Drosophila melanogaster: one gene and its partner. The protein of the gene in region 2 interacts with the protein of the main gene of each other region in a pairwise test. Each region holds a gene or a part of one and is shown on either strand. Other genes may lie near its edges.

What was found. Proteins that work in one complex are often made in the same cells at the same time.
Region 1: the proteins of CG17211 (region 2) and Cpr35B interact in a two-hybrid assay, tested with the Drosophila melanogaster proteins (one large-scale study listed by BioGRID).

The regions. Positions count from the first base shown.
Region 1 is NT_033779.5:14,422,778-14,428,919, forward strand, and holds Cpr35B (cuticular protein 35B), read right to left. Parts: upstream 2,413-6,142; 5' UTR 2,355-2,412; coding exon 2,343-2,354; intron 2,281-2,342; coding exon 1,636-2,280; 3' UTR 1,538-1,635; downstream 1-1,537.
Region 2 is NT_033779.5:12,111,271-12,119,196, reverse strand, and holds the start of CG17211 (uncharacterized protein), read right to left. Parts: upstream 4,838-7,926; 5' UTR 4,547-4,837; intron 1-4,546. Other genes in the region: Phae2 (phaedra 2), read right to left, coding at 7,252-7,926.

The sequences.
Region 1 (6,142 bases), 2.3 Mb from region 2:
TTTATTGCTTTGATTTCATTTCAAATAAATCGTAATCAAGTGAATTTACGACCTGTGCCAACAGCGACTTCACATTCCCTTGAAGCTTAGCTTAATTAATTTCAATTTAATTTTTTCCGAAACAAAATTTATGATTCAATTGCATTAGGTGGCATGTAAATTTTTCACTTTAGCTCATTAAGTGTCGAATCGCATTGATTAAGGATCGTGATTAAGGAAAATTAAAATACAAAACGCATAATTTCCTTAAATGTCAGTTGATAATTTCTTTTTTATAATCAGAAATCGCAATGAGATAATATATAATCTTAATATACTGATACTTATTTTGATTGGGAATATTTTCATTATTGAAATGAAGCATTTTTAAACGTATTATTTCTTAATTGAAAGCTTCTTTTACAATATTTGCGCATATCTACTCAAATGATTTATTTAACAAATTATTAGTATAATTTCTGTTTTTCTGACCTACAAATTGAGCTTCTCAATATGAAAAAATGAACCTCAATTAATCATTATTTGCAACACAAGAAGCACAAAAATCCGGCAAAAAGTGCCATAATAAATATAAGTAATAGCTGTTGCAATTTTCGCACTATATCTCGTATATTACATAATGTAGAAAGTGCGTGCCGCACAAACACATGGAACGTATAAAAATAATAAATTACACGAAGCGAGAGGCAACTGGAGTCCCGGTCGAGTTGGGTCGAGAAGGGATTTTTGTGGAGCGTTTATTATGCGCACAATAAACGCGGCGGGCGCAGCGGCGACATAAATTAAATTTATGATGCTTATAAATATTCCACAGTCATTTGTAATACAGCAACAAACGAGGGCAACAGGATAACGCAAGGATGTGCCGAGCCTGTCTGTTAAACAAATTGTAGCCAACTCGGGCTGAGGGGAAAGCAACAAACAAACAAAAACACACGCACTCGCGAATGCTAGGGAGATATATATATTTGATTTATGGGTGTGCGCGGATGAATAAAGGACTTTCAACTCCGAAAACCCGATTGCCACCACTAGAAGTGAAAAGAAATCGCCCATAAAAAATCGCCATGTGCACGCATATATACAATATGTGTGTATGCTTGCATAAAAAATACAAGTTTCAGCCACCTGAAATAGCCAGCGAATAGATAGATATGCGGGCTAATTTATGGATAAACTGTACAAATATGATTTATAATAATCGAATTTGTGATATATCTCGCCTGTCGTGTCGCACATTACTGATTCTGACCCAAATTACGGTCTATGCGATTCTCGTCTTGGTGTTGAGTCGCGAATGCCTGCCTATTCAATTCATAAATCACCATATGCTAAATATGCTAAAATTTCACTAATAATTTGAAATGTTTAAATATTCCAAATGTATCGAAAAGAGCTATCTACTGTGATTTGTTTCTTTTTTAAGTTAATAGTTCGTTGGTAAGTATAGAAACTTTATAATTCGATTTTAATAGGTTTTAGGGAAACTTTAGTTACACTTCTTGTCCATTTCAAATCAAATAATTATTTCAATTTTGAAAATATTTGCCTGATTTATTTTGGTATAACAACAATAGGTATTTGGTAAGAGTTCAATAAACGATTGATAAACAATTGTATAGCTTAGGGGTCAACTCAATGGTAACCGTGTCCGTGCTCGAAACCATGATCCTGACCGTGGCTGTGGCCGTGCCCATGTCCGTGTTCCTGTTTCAGCGAATAGCTGTGGGAGCTGCTTCCGTGACCATGTCCATGACCATGACCGTGACCGTGCTCCTCGTGTCCGTGGCCATAGTCGTGTCCGGATTGCGAGGAGTGCTCCTCGAACTCAACGTGTCCGCCCTCGTAGCCGCTGTGTCCATGGCCATGGTGCTCCGCCTGGTGGTGATCGTGGAGCTTCTCGCGATGGACATGAGCCTCGAATCCCTTGTGCTTGTCCGCCGTGTAGTGGACAGTTCGCTTGTGGCCATCGGCATCGATCAACTCATAGTGTCCGGTAACCGTGTGGCCATGTCGTGACTCACTCTGTGACTTCACATCCCCAGTCTTTTGATCCTTGACGCCGTACTGGAAGTCATACTCAGCATGGGAGTCATGGTGATCATCATGCCCGTGATGGTCGTGATGATGACCGTGATGTTCCTCGTGATGATCGTCGTGCGATGTTAGATGCACGGAGGCATGACTGGTGGCTCCACCGTGATGACCGTGGTGTTCGTGGCCATGGAAAGGAGCTGCCCGAATAGCCGCAATGGCCAAGAGGGCAAAGGCGATGAAAAACTAAGGAAAATCGAGGTGAATAATAATTTGCTTTAGTTGTTATCCTTTTTTGCTGAACTCACCTTTTGAGCCATGGTACCGCAGCTAGTTTATGAGTTAATCTTAGCTAGACTACTGTTGTCTGATCTCCAGACCAAAGTGAACTGTACCTAAAACACCTTTAACCCGGCCTTTTTATAGTTGGAATAAATCGAACCCATAGGTTAAACTTTCAAAAAAGAATTGGTAAATCGGTCTTTAGTTACGCCCCAATTTGCAGTTCAAGATCAGGTCGTACTTTCGCCCCAGAGACGTGCAATTATATTCGACTGCCAGTTCGACCCTTTTATTTAGCTGTTGTTTCGAAAATCCGTAAAAAAAAAAAATAAATAAACATAAAAATGAGGAAAGAAAAGAATGGCAGTGTAGTAATTCATTGTAAAATTTACTGTCGCAACAATTGCCAATTTAAAGTGGCATTGTTTATGCATCGCATCGCTGTCGTTGTCGGCCATTATAATCCCCCGGCTTGGAGTCGGATTTGGATTGGGATTGGTATATGTGGGCATAGCCAAGAAACAAACGAGCCAAAAGATTTATATGCCTGACAAACGTCTTCGAGTCGTTGACGTCAATCAGGCCTGACAAAAAGTCATCAGAATTGCAGTTTGCAGTTCTCCCTCGGCAGCGGCTTCTTCATTTTGGCCAGATCGGAAAGGCTTGTCTGCTCTCCTCAATCCCAATTCCAATCCCATCCCATCCCAATCCCAGTCCCGTTTCCCGATCCCGATCGGGATCCCAACTTTCGGTGGACTGTTGTCCCGCCAGTCCGCCTGTCAGCAGTCAATCGGCTACCGTCTGTCAATGTCGTGTCGCCTTCATCAAAGGCCACATTCGAGTTGACAATGGGGATATTGGTTCTGTTTTGTAATCCGCAAAGGATACGGATTTTTGAAAGTGCTCAAGTCTGGCAAGAAGAGCTACGTGGCTGGATGGAACATACTTGAATGCAATTTGCATTTGATGCGTGAATTAGCTGGGAATGTAATAATTGGATGAGAATGTTCAGAAAGAAGGGATAGAAGAACATGGCTAACAGATTCAAGGACCATCAGTTATATGATGCTAAGTATTTATTAGTATTTATTACTATTTTTACTTTTGGTACCCTCTATGTACCCTCAATGCCTTAAATTATGCTCCTTCTGCTGTGTTTAGATAACTTTATGCAACAGTTGTGGTTTAATTGATACTGATTATGGTAACTGGGCTTATGCATCCAAAAGTCGAGATCTGGGAGCAGTGAAAGCCCCCTTCTTTCATCATCGAAATTGCCCTTATGGCAGTGGTCTGAACGTGGCACAGAGCCGCAATGTTGCTGCCGCAAGTTGAGAGTCGCAAGTTGCAAGTTGCCAGTTGCCGTCGCTGTCGACTCATCGTTGTCAGTCAAAGGGGCAAACGAAAGGCTGCGTGGTTTGGTTGGCTGGTTTCGTTGTCAGTGTCATTGCTGGCTGCGTTTTGTGGGCACATTTCGGCTGCTTGATTACTCATGTCAATCAGGCTTCCAAACAGCGACGACATGCTGTCAATCTTTGTGTCATGGCCGCTAAAGTTGTTGGTCGGTTGGTCGGTCGTTTTGGCCGGTTGGCCAGTTGCTGGAGTCGTACAACAAGTACGCTTGATTGCCGGGCCCAAAAGGCTGGGTAAAAGGGTAAATACAGGACAGCAACAACAAAAAAAAATAGGAGGCGATGGGGAAAACCGATGATGCCACAAAGGTGCCCGGTGGCAGTGACAGGACTGTAGTTGTAGCCCATTCGATTGATGTGCATTGTATGTAAATTGGGCGGTCGTTTTCGCATTTGATGCCCTGTCAAGGGATAATCAACAGCAGCAGCAGCAGCAGGAACGGCAGCAGATCAACAACCGCAGACAACGAAGGGACAACTTTAACATTCACTTCTACTCGTTGCAAGTCGCAAGTTGCAACTCATTATGCGTCGCATACGAAATTGTTCCCCACTGTAACGAGCTTAAGAAATACGATCAAAATGCCTCGATAATTTTTCGCACAGCACCACAGCGACCATAAATATCCTTCACTGGTATCCTGCCGAAAATTGAAAACGACAATGTTGAGGGCTTGTTGACAGATACTCATTTGACAGGATCCCATCAACTGTCACTGCCAAGCGAAACATAAACTGAATCGAAACCGAAGCTGAGTACGGATATCGAGTTTAATCGCGATTGTGGCTAGTAAAAGAGGCATATTGTTTGCAAAAGTTATGGAACGTCATTTAATTGGACTTCTTAATAAGCTGAATACTCTTCACACAGGGGAAAACATAATATACTAAGCGAAAGCATTTTATAAATTAACTGCAAGCTGGCAAACTAATTGAATAAGTTAATGACTAAAAGCAATTACATGATCTGAAAAAGAGACATTATCCTTTAGGCTCATATATAATGTTGTTAAATTTTACTTTGAATGATAATTTAAACATTATATTGCTATGAAAGAACCTGTTTAATTTTATTCACAATACTCATTACTGAATCTCTCACTCTATATACAATTTCTATACTTAGCTTTCCAGCACTACCTACTTACATCCGAGGCAATGACAATAAAATATCGTCAGGCGAAAAAGACGCAAGAAAATGCGTTAAGACAATTCGCAGCAATTGCAATTGGACAAGAAACTGGTTGGCAAGCCATAAAGTTAGCTGTAATCGGTAATTGCGATAAATAAAGTAAGTGGCCGGGTTCGAGGTGTTGGAACATCCAGGGGAGGATGGAGAGGATGAGCACATGCCAAGGCATCCCGATGCCATCTACGATGCCTCTGGAGTCCCGAGGAGTGTTGACAATTCTCGTCAATTACGTTGTAATGCGTTTGCTTCATCGCAGCTGCCTTGACGTTCCAGTTGGGCCACTTGATGCATTGCTTGACACATTATGATGCTTGATTTGTTGTCATGGCAATTTTGCCACCATCCACCGACCATCCACTGACCATCTTGACCAGGCCTCAAATGGCATCTACCCAATCTTCACCTCTCTCCATGTCAATAACTCCGCAGGCAGCGACGCTGTGTAATGTGAATTTTTCACTATGGACAAATGAGTTTGTCGCGGCCTTTTTGCGTTATAATTACAAACGCTTTTTTTTTGCTGCCTCTGCTGTCTGTGAACAAAAATAGTTAGCAACGCAACAACATTGCTGAGCTTACCAGTTATTAATGGCTAAGTCTGGACATGTTGGTATTTATCAGGTTGCCTATATATCCTCTCCTTCTGGCAATTTGTGATCGCTTGTTGTCCCCTAATTATTTGCTCAGCTAGTCAGGTATTTATGGGGAATTTCTTACATATTTCGAATGCAAATCAAATTTTATATGAATGTGCTGTGGGATATTTTATGAAATTTTGTGCCTCTTGCTTATACATACATATAGTTAACATATGTGTGCAAGTCTTAGAACCCATTAAATAACTTAACTACAAGTGAGTTTTATTCGCACTTAAACATTAGTTAATATGAACAATTAAGGATGCTCATTAATTTATACAGTACAGAGTAACATTTCGAGTGTGTGCAGACAGGAAAAAGTTGTTCAAAGACAGCCTCAGCTGGGAATCAATGAAAAGGTGACTGTAATTGATTGTGTGGCCATTTTTGAACTGAGCCGACAAATACGCTTAATAATGGAGCGTATCGCGTAATCACAGCACTCGTAATTGCCTCCCATAGACTCGATCGGAACAGTAGCCACTGGATATAAGCAAATTATGCATGCCTCCAGTCAAGTCTTTCAAGATTGAAAGACTTTTTCACAAAACATCTTACCAGTCATTATAAGCACTTGACATTAA
Region 2 (7,926 bases):
ATTGTGGCAAATGGATAAGAGCGGAAAACCTGCAGAACTGGGAAAGGTTTTTTTGTGTCGTCCAGCTATGGCACCTTTCACAAAAGCCAAAACCATCAGCGAATCCACAAACGAAACTGCGCCAAGCAATCAACCGAAAGTTCTTAATACCCCCAAGTACCTATTGGCAAATTGATGTCGCCCTGCTTTGGTTCTTTACTATACTAGTTTTTTAGGTACAAAAGGTTCCATTCGAGGTTAAATAATCGGATTCGTGATGCGGCCAGAACGGCGTAATAAAATTGTCAACATGACAGGCCGCGATTAATATAGAGTTCATATTTTTGTAATGCATAAATCATGCAGCAGATGGAACGTGCTCCATTGCCTTGCATTACTTTTCCCACAATTTAAAGATGCGACTCCTTGGGCGAATTCTAAATTCAATTGCTAGAGATGGCACTTATTTGCGGAGTTATAAGTGGTTTCATATCTTTGAAATATATATACCAATTAGTAAAATCGAAATTTGAAAGAAATACCAAGCTTCGTGCTTTAAATTCGTATAGACCACATCTTTAAGATGTGTCCCAGTTTTTGAAGTCATGGCAAGTGCATATATTGTGTGGTTTAGAAAACTCCATAAGTGCCGCGAAACATGATCATAATTCCATCACACGCGCATCTCTGTGGGCCAAAGCCAACGACCGGCCAGAGTTTGTGGCAAACTTGTTCTGACTTTTGTTACAATTGGCGATTCCTTTCTTTTTTTTTTATTCAGCTTTCTAGCGCTGCAAGACAATGCACCATAAAACTGCAATGGAGTTGTGATCGCTGTTGTTTTTTTTTCTTTTTCCTGGCTGCTTCTCACTCCACCCATTTCCATTTCAGTTGCCATGCAAATTTCTGACTCGTGTTGTTTTTCCGTCTCGAATGTTTTCCTCTTTCCGGGCACATTTGTCAAGGTGTCTTGTAAACAAGGAAACCGGGCAGCCCAAGAAAATCCAGAGACTCCAAAAGAATCCAAAAGAACCCCAAAAGAACCCAGAGCCAAGCACCGTTAGATCAGATGCAGACATAGTGCTTATATAACGCATTGCGCCAGCCAATTGTGTTTTTTTTTTTTATTGGTTAACTCTTTAGGCCATAAATGGTAGTGACAAAAGTCGGAATTTATGGCCCGCTGACAGCTCTGATAAATAACCCAAGGCCCGACTTTGGCTTAGAGTGGCCCAGGGTTTGGTTTTTGTATTTTGTACTTCAACTGGCGTTGGAATGGGGCGTGCTGCAGGTGGGGAAAGCACCTAAGAGAGCCATAAAATGTTTTATCTTCGACTCTGTTCTTGCAGCACGTCGCCGTGAGGAGTCCGAAGTTAATTAGCAGGGAATAGATGGCTTTTAAAATTCCTCCTCCTGTGGCAATTAATCTGACAATGCGTTACAAAAAATGTGCCGACAGAAGTCAAGGAAGCACATGGGTTTACGTTTTATTGAAGCATAGAACAAAGGTCATAAAAAGGAAATTTATATCTCCCCATTAAATTGTATTAATATCTATGGGAAAAATGACACCTAAGTGTCCAAATAAAATACATTTATATATAAGCTAGGTACTAAAATGTTTGGTTACATAAACAACAATCTAATAGATTAATTACGAAGCCCATATTTTGCATAATATAAACCTCATATATGGACCAGCAACACCCTTTTATAGGGGTAGGTATATCTAATTTCCATAAGTCTGCTTATTTTCCGTGTATTTCGCTGATGTTATTCGGATAGTGGCGACACAAAAGAAAGAGATTCTCCTCATATGGCCAGGCTAAGTTTGGTTTGGTTTTTGCTTTTTCGCTGCCTTCTTTATACGTGCACTCTTTTTCAGCTGCTTGCCTCACCGTTGCAATATCAGATTACGTGCGGGCCAGCTTTTGTTGTTCTTGGCCGGGTAATGGGGCCTCTCCTTAAGTGCCCAGTGCTATTCGGCATATCAGATGTTGCTAATGTGGCCGCGCTAACTGTGGGCTGGACTACAGCGCTCCACTTGAAAGGAGAGTTTAGATACCAGATACCAGATACAAGATACTTTTTTTTTCGACCTTGAGATGGCGGTCGAAGCTCAGCTCCCGGCCCTGATAATCGAATTTGTGGCACACCACACTTTGGTCAGATTATCGAGATGACCAAAGGGCAGTCAGGAAGTTCTTTTGATACCTTAAAGATATCAAGTGGCTTTGTAAGCTCATTAACTCGACTAGGCTCTACAAATTTCTGGTAAGATTATTATTTTTTACAACTAATTGCGTAAGTGAATAAAATGAATTTATTATTCTACGATTTTTGACAAACATTTTTAAAATTTTCTTCAGTTTCTCAAAGTTGAGACTTACATAGAATATAGGTCATTTATGCACCATATAATTGTCGTGTATTTCGACTTCCAGTTAAAGACATTATTATATAGCCTAATGAAGCTTTCTTCCCGTCTTCGTACCCAAGCTCGTAGATTTCCTTTAGCTCCCTGAGTTCTTTCACTAACATTTTCAATTGCAGGCAATTAGCAAATTCTCTTTTGGCTCGCCTTAATGGCCGTCTAACGTAAAATGTCGTCTTACACACGAGTTTTATAGCTTCCGCTTTGCATTATCAAATATTATTGGTGTTGTTCTACCGCTTCTTATAGCTTCTTCTTTCTACCTTCTTTGCGATTGCATGTCGTCACGTCAAGCTCCAAGAAGTGGCAAGAAGAAGCAGTAGAATCGGCGCAGCAGCTGGATGGAAGAGAAAAAAACCCTTGGCTATCTAATGATGATCATTAGGAGCGGTACTGTAATCACACAGAAGCCAAACACAAACTCAAACTCCCAGCTCAACCTTAAGCCAGTTCTCCTTCTTCTAGCGCAGCTGCTTCTTCTTGCTTCTTTTTGTCAACATAAAACGGTAATTTCTTAAACAAAAAAGTAAGAACAACATCACAGTCAGTATCTGAGTAGCAAAAGATTACTCTGAACATTTATACACAGGAAACAAAGACGAGTATATAATAATGACAAGGTAGATCTTAGAAATCCACATTTTTTCTTACGTAATGTATTTTGAAAGATTTATTTGTATTAAGCCGAAAGATAGATTTATTTTACTAAGTATTACATTTAATAAATAATAATAATATCTTATTTTATATTCCCATTTTAGGATGGACAAACTTTGCCCAAAACTTGTACGACGGTGATTTTTTTCTAAGTTATATTTATCTTTTATTTGTTGACCCTCCTTTTTTGTGCAGTGTAATTAAAGCCAGTGCAACCTACATTCTCTCCCTTGATCTCCACACTCTCGGTCTTCTCCCTTCTGGTTTCCCCGGTTTTCCAATTCCGAGTGCGTTTTTTGCGGCTGTGCGACCATTGTAACGGCTTTGATTTGTCTTAGGAAGTCGCCTAAGTTTTTTTTTTGTCGGCGTTACCTTGGGTTCGTCTTGCCCCAATTGAACCTCCCCGCTTTTCTCACAGTGTGCCCCAGTGATGCGACTTTTTATGTTTGCCTGCCGCTGCTGGCATCTTAACAGTTAAATGCTTAGTTTACATCATTAGCATGCCGTTTCCAGATATTTTCTTTTCTTTTGGCTAATAAATAAGCAATTTGGTGGCTGCTTCTTTTACTGTCATCGACTATTTCTTTAATTGGTCTGCGCAAGCTGGTAAGCATTATTTAATTAGCATAGATTTGCTGGGAATCGGAATAACTTGATTAACATTATACAGTTGGGAATTTCATTTCTAATTCAATTAAATAAATACACCATTTACTTTTTATTACCAGAAAGTTCGTTGCCTCAGTCTTTCGTTTGTATTGAATAAAATATGAATTTTCATGTTCTCTTTACGCTTTGATAAATACGCAAAGAAGTGCAGAAATCTTTGATAATATTATTAGAGTCTTCCAAGAAACGAATTAAAATGTATATGTTGTTTTACCGCACTCATTACACCTAGATCAACACACAGGAATCGTTGCCTGTGGAGTCAGTTCGTTGCCTGAGTCTTTCGATTGTGTGTGATTTTGCTTTTGTCTCTGCGGCCGCAAGAACGAGTGCACTGAAGCATGGTCTTTTGGCTCCGGCTGTAGGTTTTTGTGTGTGTCTACTAGTATTTATTTATCTGGCCACCAAGTCGGTGGGTTCTATTAACCATGTAAACAATACCGTTAACACGACACGACGCGGAAAATGCTTTTGGCAGCGGGAGCGAAACAGATAAATGAAATGTGCCGCAAGAATTTGCCAAGTTGGTGGCGGCAAAGAGGGACGTGCCAACTGCATATACCACACCCCCCCCCCCTACGGTAATGCATCACAGAATTGAACAACAAGAACAGCTACGTAGAAAAAAAAAGCGTGAAAAAGAGGCGACAGGAAAAACGGTTTGAGGAAAACACTTATTAAATTTTAGCATGCCCAAAGTGTGGAAAGAGCTGGCGGCGAGGCCACAAAGAACCGCAACAACGACCCCAAGAACGAACCAAGAATTCCCAATGATGCATTCCTGGAGTTTTCCGCAAGTTCACATACCTGTCCAGTCTGAGGTTTTCCTATATCCACTCTAACTGTGGGGCACAAAAACAAAAAAGCATTGAATATAACTCCACAGCTTAGTTTATTATTGATTTGTTTGTTTGCTTATGCTTGCACTTCACCACTGCCACTCAAGGGTTCGATCATCGTTGACCACAAGAAGTGTCTTCTAGTCTTTGAGTCTTCGAAGAAGAGTCATTTATTGTGTTTTTTTTTTATTATTATTTTTATATCCACCTTGCGCGTATGGTTTTCTCGTTCTGAACGCGTCGCGTGCTGTTTTCAAACTGAGGCTCAGCAACAAGTTCGAGTTGCTTTTAAGAAAAGCATTCGGAAGAAAGTTGTCTGCATACTGAATTCTTTTTCTGTTCGAGCGCGCCAAAGATTCTCGTTCGAAAGCTGCAGCGAAAGAGATATATTCTCTCGAGAGAAAGAGAGCATCTGCTAAGAGAGTCTTCTCCATTCCACCGAAGGGAGATTAATTGCTGGTTGTACTGCCGATAAGCATGAAATGTCGCTTGTCCGCAGTTTGTTGGCCAATTAAAAATTAGATTTCGCTTTAGATTTTGTCCATAAGATTGGCCAAAGTTCGCGGAACGATTGCAAAGATAAAAGTTCGGACGGGCTATTTTTTTGAAAAATAAAAACCTTCAATAGTTTATTTAAAGAGTTGAATGAACTAGAAAGTGACAAGCTGCCTTCATTGACACCACACATAATTGTCCGTGACATGTGATTAAAATAATGGTGTAACTTTTGCGGGGCTTTACTTTCAACTTCATGTACACAAAATTATACCTAGCATAATGCAAATATGAATATTATTTGTTAAGACAAGAATTTATTTGTTCACACATATTTTGTATATTTTACACTATTTACTATTTTTTCAAACACATTAGTCACTTTATTTGAATCAACAATGCAATCTATACCTCTTATTTATGGCCCAATCATATCTAACTCATTTCAATAATCCGTTCTTCCCTTTACCAATTATAAAACCATTCGCAGTCTTTCCGACCGCAGAATCCCGACATGAAAAAATATAATAATATATACTTGCGTGTGTATATACACAAAAGACCATAAAGCACAGACATTCATTCCGATGCCAAATGCCGACGCCAATAAAGCCCCCAAGTAAATAATTCCAGGCATTACTCCATTACTCATAATGGCGCAGCCAAATGTCGCGGTCGCATCCTCATCCTCATCCTCGTCGGCGGAGGAACGCAGCAAACGATTGAGGGAGCAGGGATCTGGAGACTGGCGACGGAGGAGCAGCCGCCCATGTTGTTCGCCAGGTTGCATAAATCTGTTCGATTCATAACACAAAGATTGCGAAGGAAGCACAGTGATCTGGCCTTGCCTCAACTTTGCTCAGATGAATTTCTTTTGTTCAGAACGGAGATGACATCGTGAATGCAACATAAGTTTGTATTCACTTTTATAAACTAAAAACTCTTTTTAAACTTATACTAAACAAATTTTTTGAGTTTTAAAACTTGTTCTTCATAATATGCTGCAAATGATCGCAATTGATTACTCTCTATAAGAAATGCAACTTCCACTTTTTCGAAATTCGGGTGGACTCACTGCGGCATCTCTGGTTCCCGCATGGTGACTCCTTTATCAGCCTTGTCTTCATCGATCGCGTCGGAGATTTTGTCCGTCTGATGGAGGCGGGGGTCCGTCGGTGGGTCTGTTCTGGTGGACTCCCCTGTCCATTCCCGTTGAGTCGTCGCTTTGTCTTGACTCCTTGGCCAGGCAGCTTGACTGGGACTTGGAGGCGTGTTTGGTTGGGGGAATGGAAACAGAATAATATAGAATGAAATATTTATCGCCATTAGAGCCTGATTAGCTGCGGGCGTGTTCTGGCCATCGTTCTTTGGGCCACGTTCCGCGCTCTTGGCCGCCTTGCTTGCGAAGCTCTTTTGGAGGCACTTAATAAGCTTTGCTGGTGTGATTGTGATGGGAAATTGATATGTCCATTCAATTATGTACTGGTCGTGTCAATAAACTGATTGCGATCGTGTCCAGCAACTTACCGAGCAATTAGTTTCCCAATAAGAACATTCCGATCAATATGATTGATAAAAACAGCGATTGAAGAGGAGTGTCTGGGATGAAATGAAATCTGGACGTGCTGACACCAAAAGTGAGACGGATTCAAAAGCAAAACTCATTCCAAGTGCTAAGTTCCCTGGGGAGTATAGTGCTCAGAATAGTTGTGCAATAGAAAAATGGAAAGTTAATCCGGATATTTCTTGGTAAAGATAACATCTTGTTGACATTACCCTTTTTTGGTTTATATTCAGTTTTTTATAACAAAAGAAAAGATAAAGCTTATTTTTATATCTTTATTTTTGCTACTTCTTGGAAAGCTTTATCTAGTTAAAATTGGGTTCACATATAAGTTGGATATCTAAAACATTTATAGTCTTATCTGATTTACTTTGTTATAAAATATATATATACATTGGTTACCATCTTCTTAAACTAGCTCTATTTATTTATTAGATAAGATAATTCGACATATAACAAAATGTATATAAATGCTTTTAAGTTCTTTCAAAGATACATTACAATCAATTAATGCATGATTTTAAAGACTCTAAAAGTTGTCATTTATAATAAGCACGTGATACTGCAATCTCATAAGTATTTCTTTATTCAGATACTATCTTATACTCCAGAATTCATTTCTTTTGGTTGGCTGCTATCCATGTTATGAACGAGGAGACCTGGACATACACCGACGGAGAGTTGGGCTGACCACATGGAAGTTTTCCCCAAGACACGATGCCGATTAGAACGTTTCCCTGGACCAGCGGACCACCGGAGTCCGAGGTGCAAAAGCTGGTGCCGCCGGTGAGAGGACCTGTGCACAGGTTCGTGGTGTGCACATCCTGACCCTTAGAGCCAAGTGCCGCAGCGCAGGAGTCGAGGCTTATGATGGGTATGTTCTTCGCCTCCTGGAGGGTTTTCGGATATGAGGGGCTATTCGTTTTGCTAGTACTGCCCCAGCCAAAGAGGTCAGCCTTTCCAGTTGGCCTCACGCCGGACGATGGCAGCTTCACCGGAGCCACTGCAGCGGTCCAAGTGAAGGCGGTGGGCGTGTAAATCAATCCGATGTCATAGGGCACAGTTCCGCCGGTATAAAGATCATTGATCACATAGTGGGTGATTTGCCTCTTCTGTGTTGTGCTCGCTGTTCCGGCCACCGCAATGCTTCCAGCCACCAGGGTGCTTCCAAGTACTTGATTCCTATTGGCCAGGCAGTGAGCAGCCGTTACCAGCCAGTTGGAATTAATGATGTTAGCGGCGCAATAGTGAGTTCCTCCGTACTGCATGGACACTATATACGGAGCACT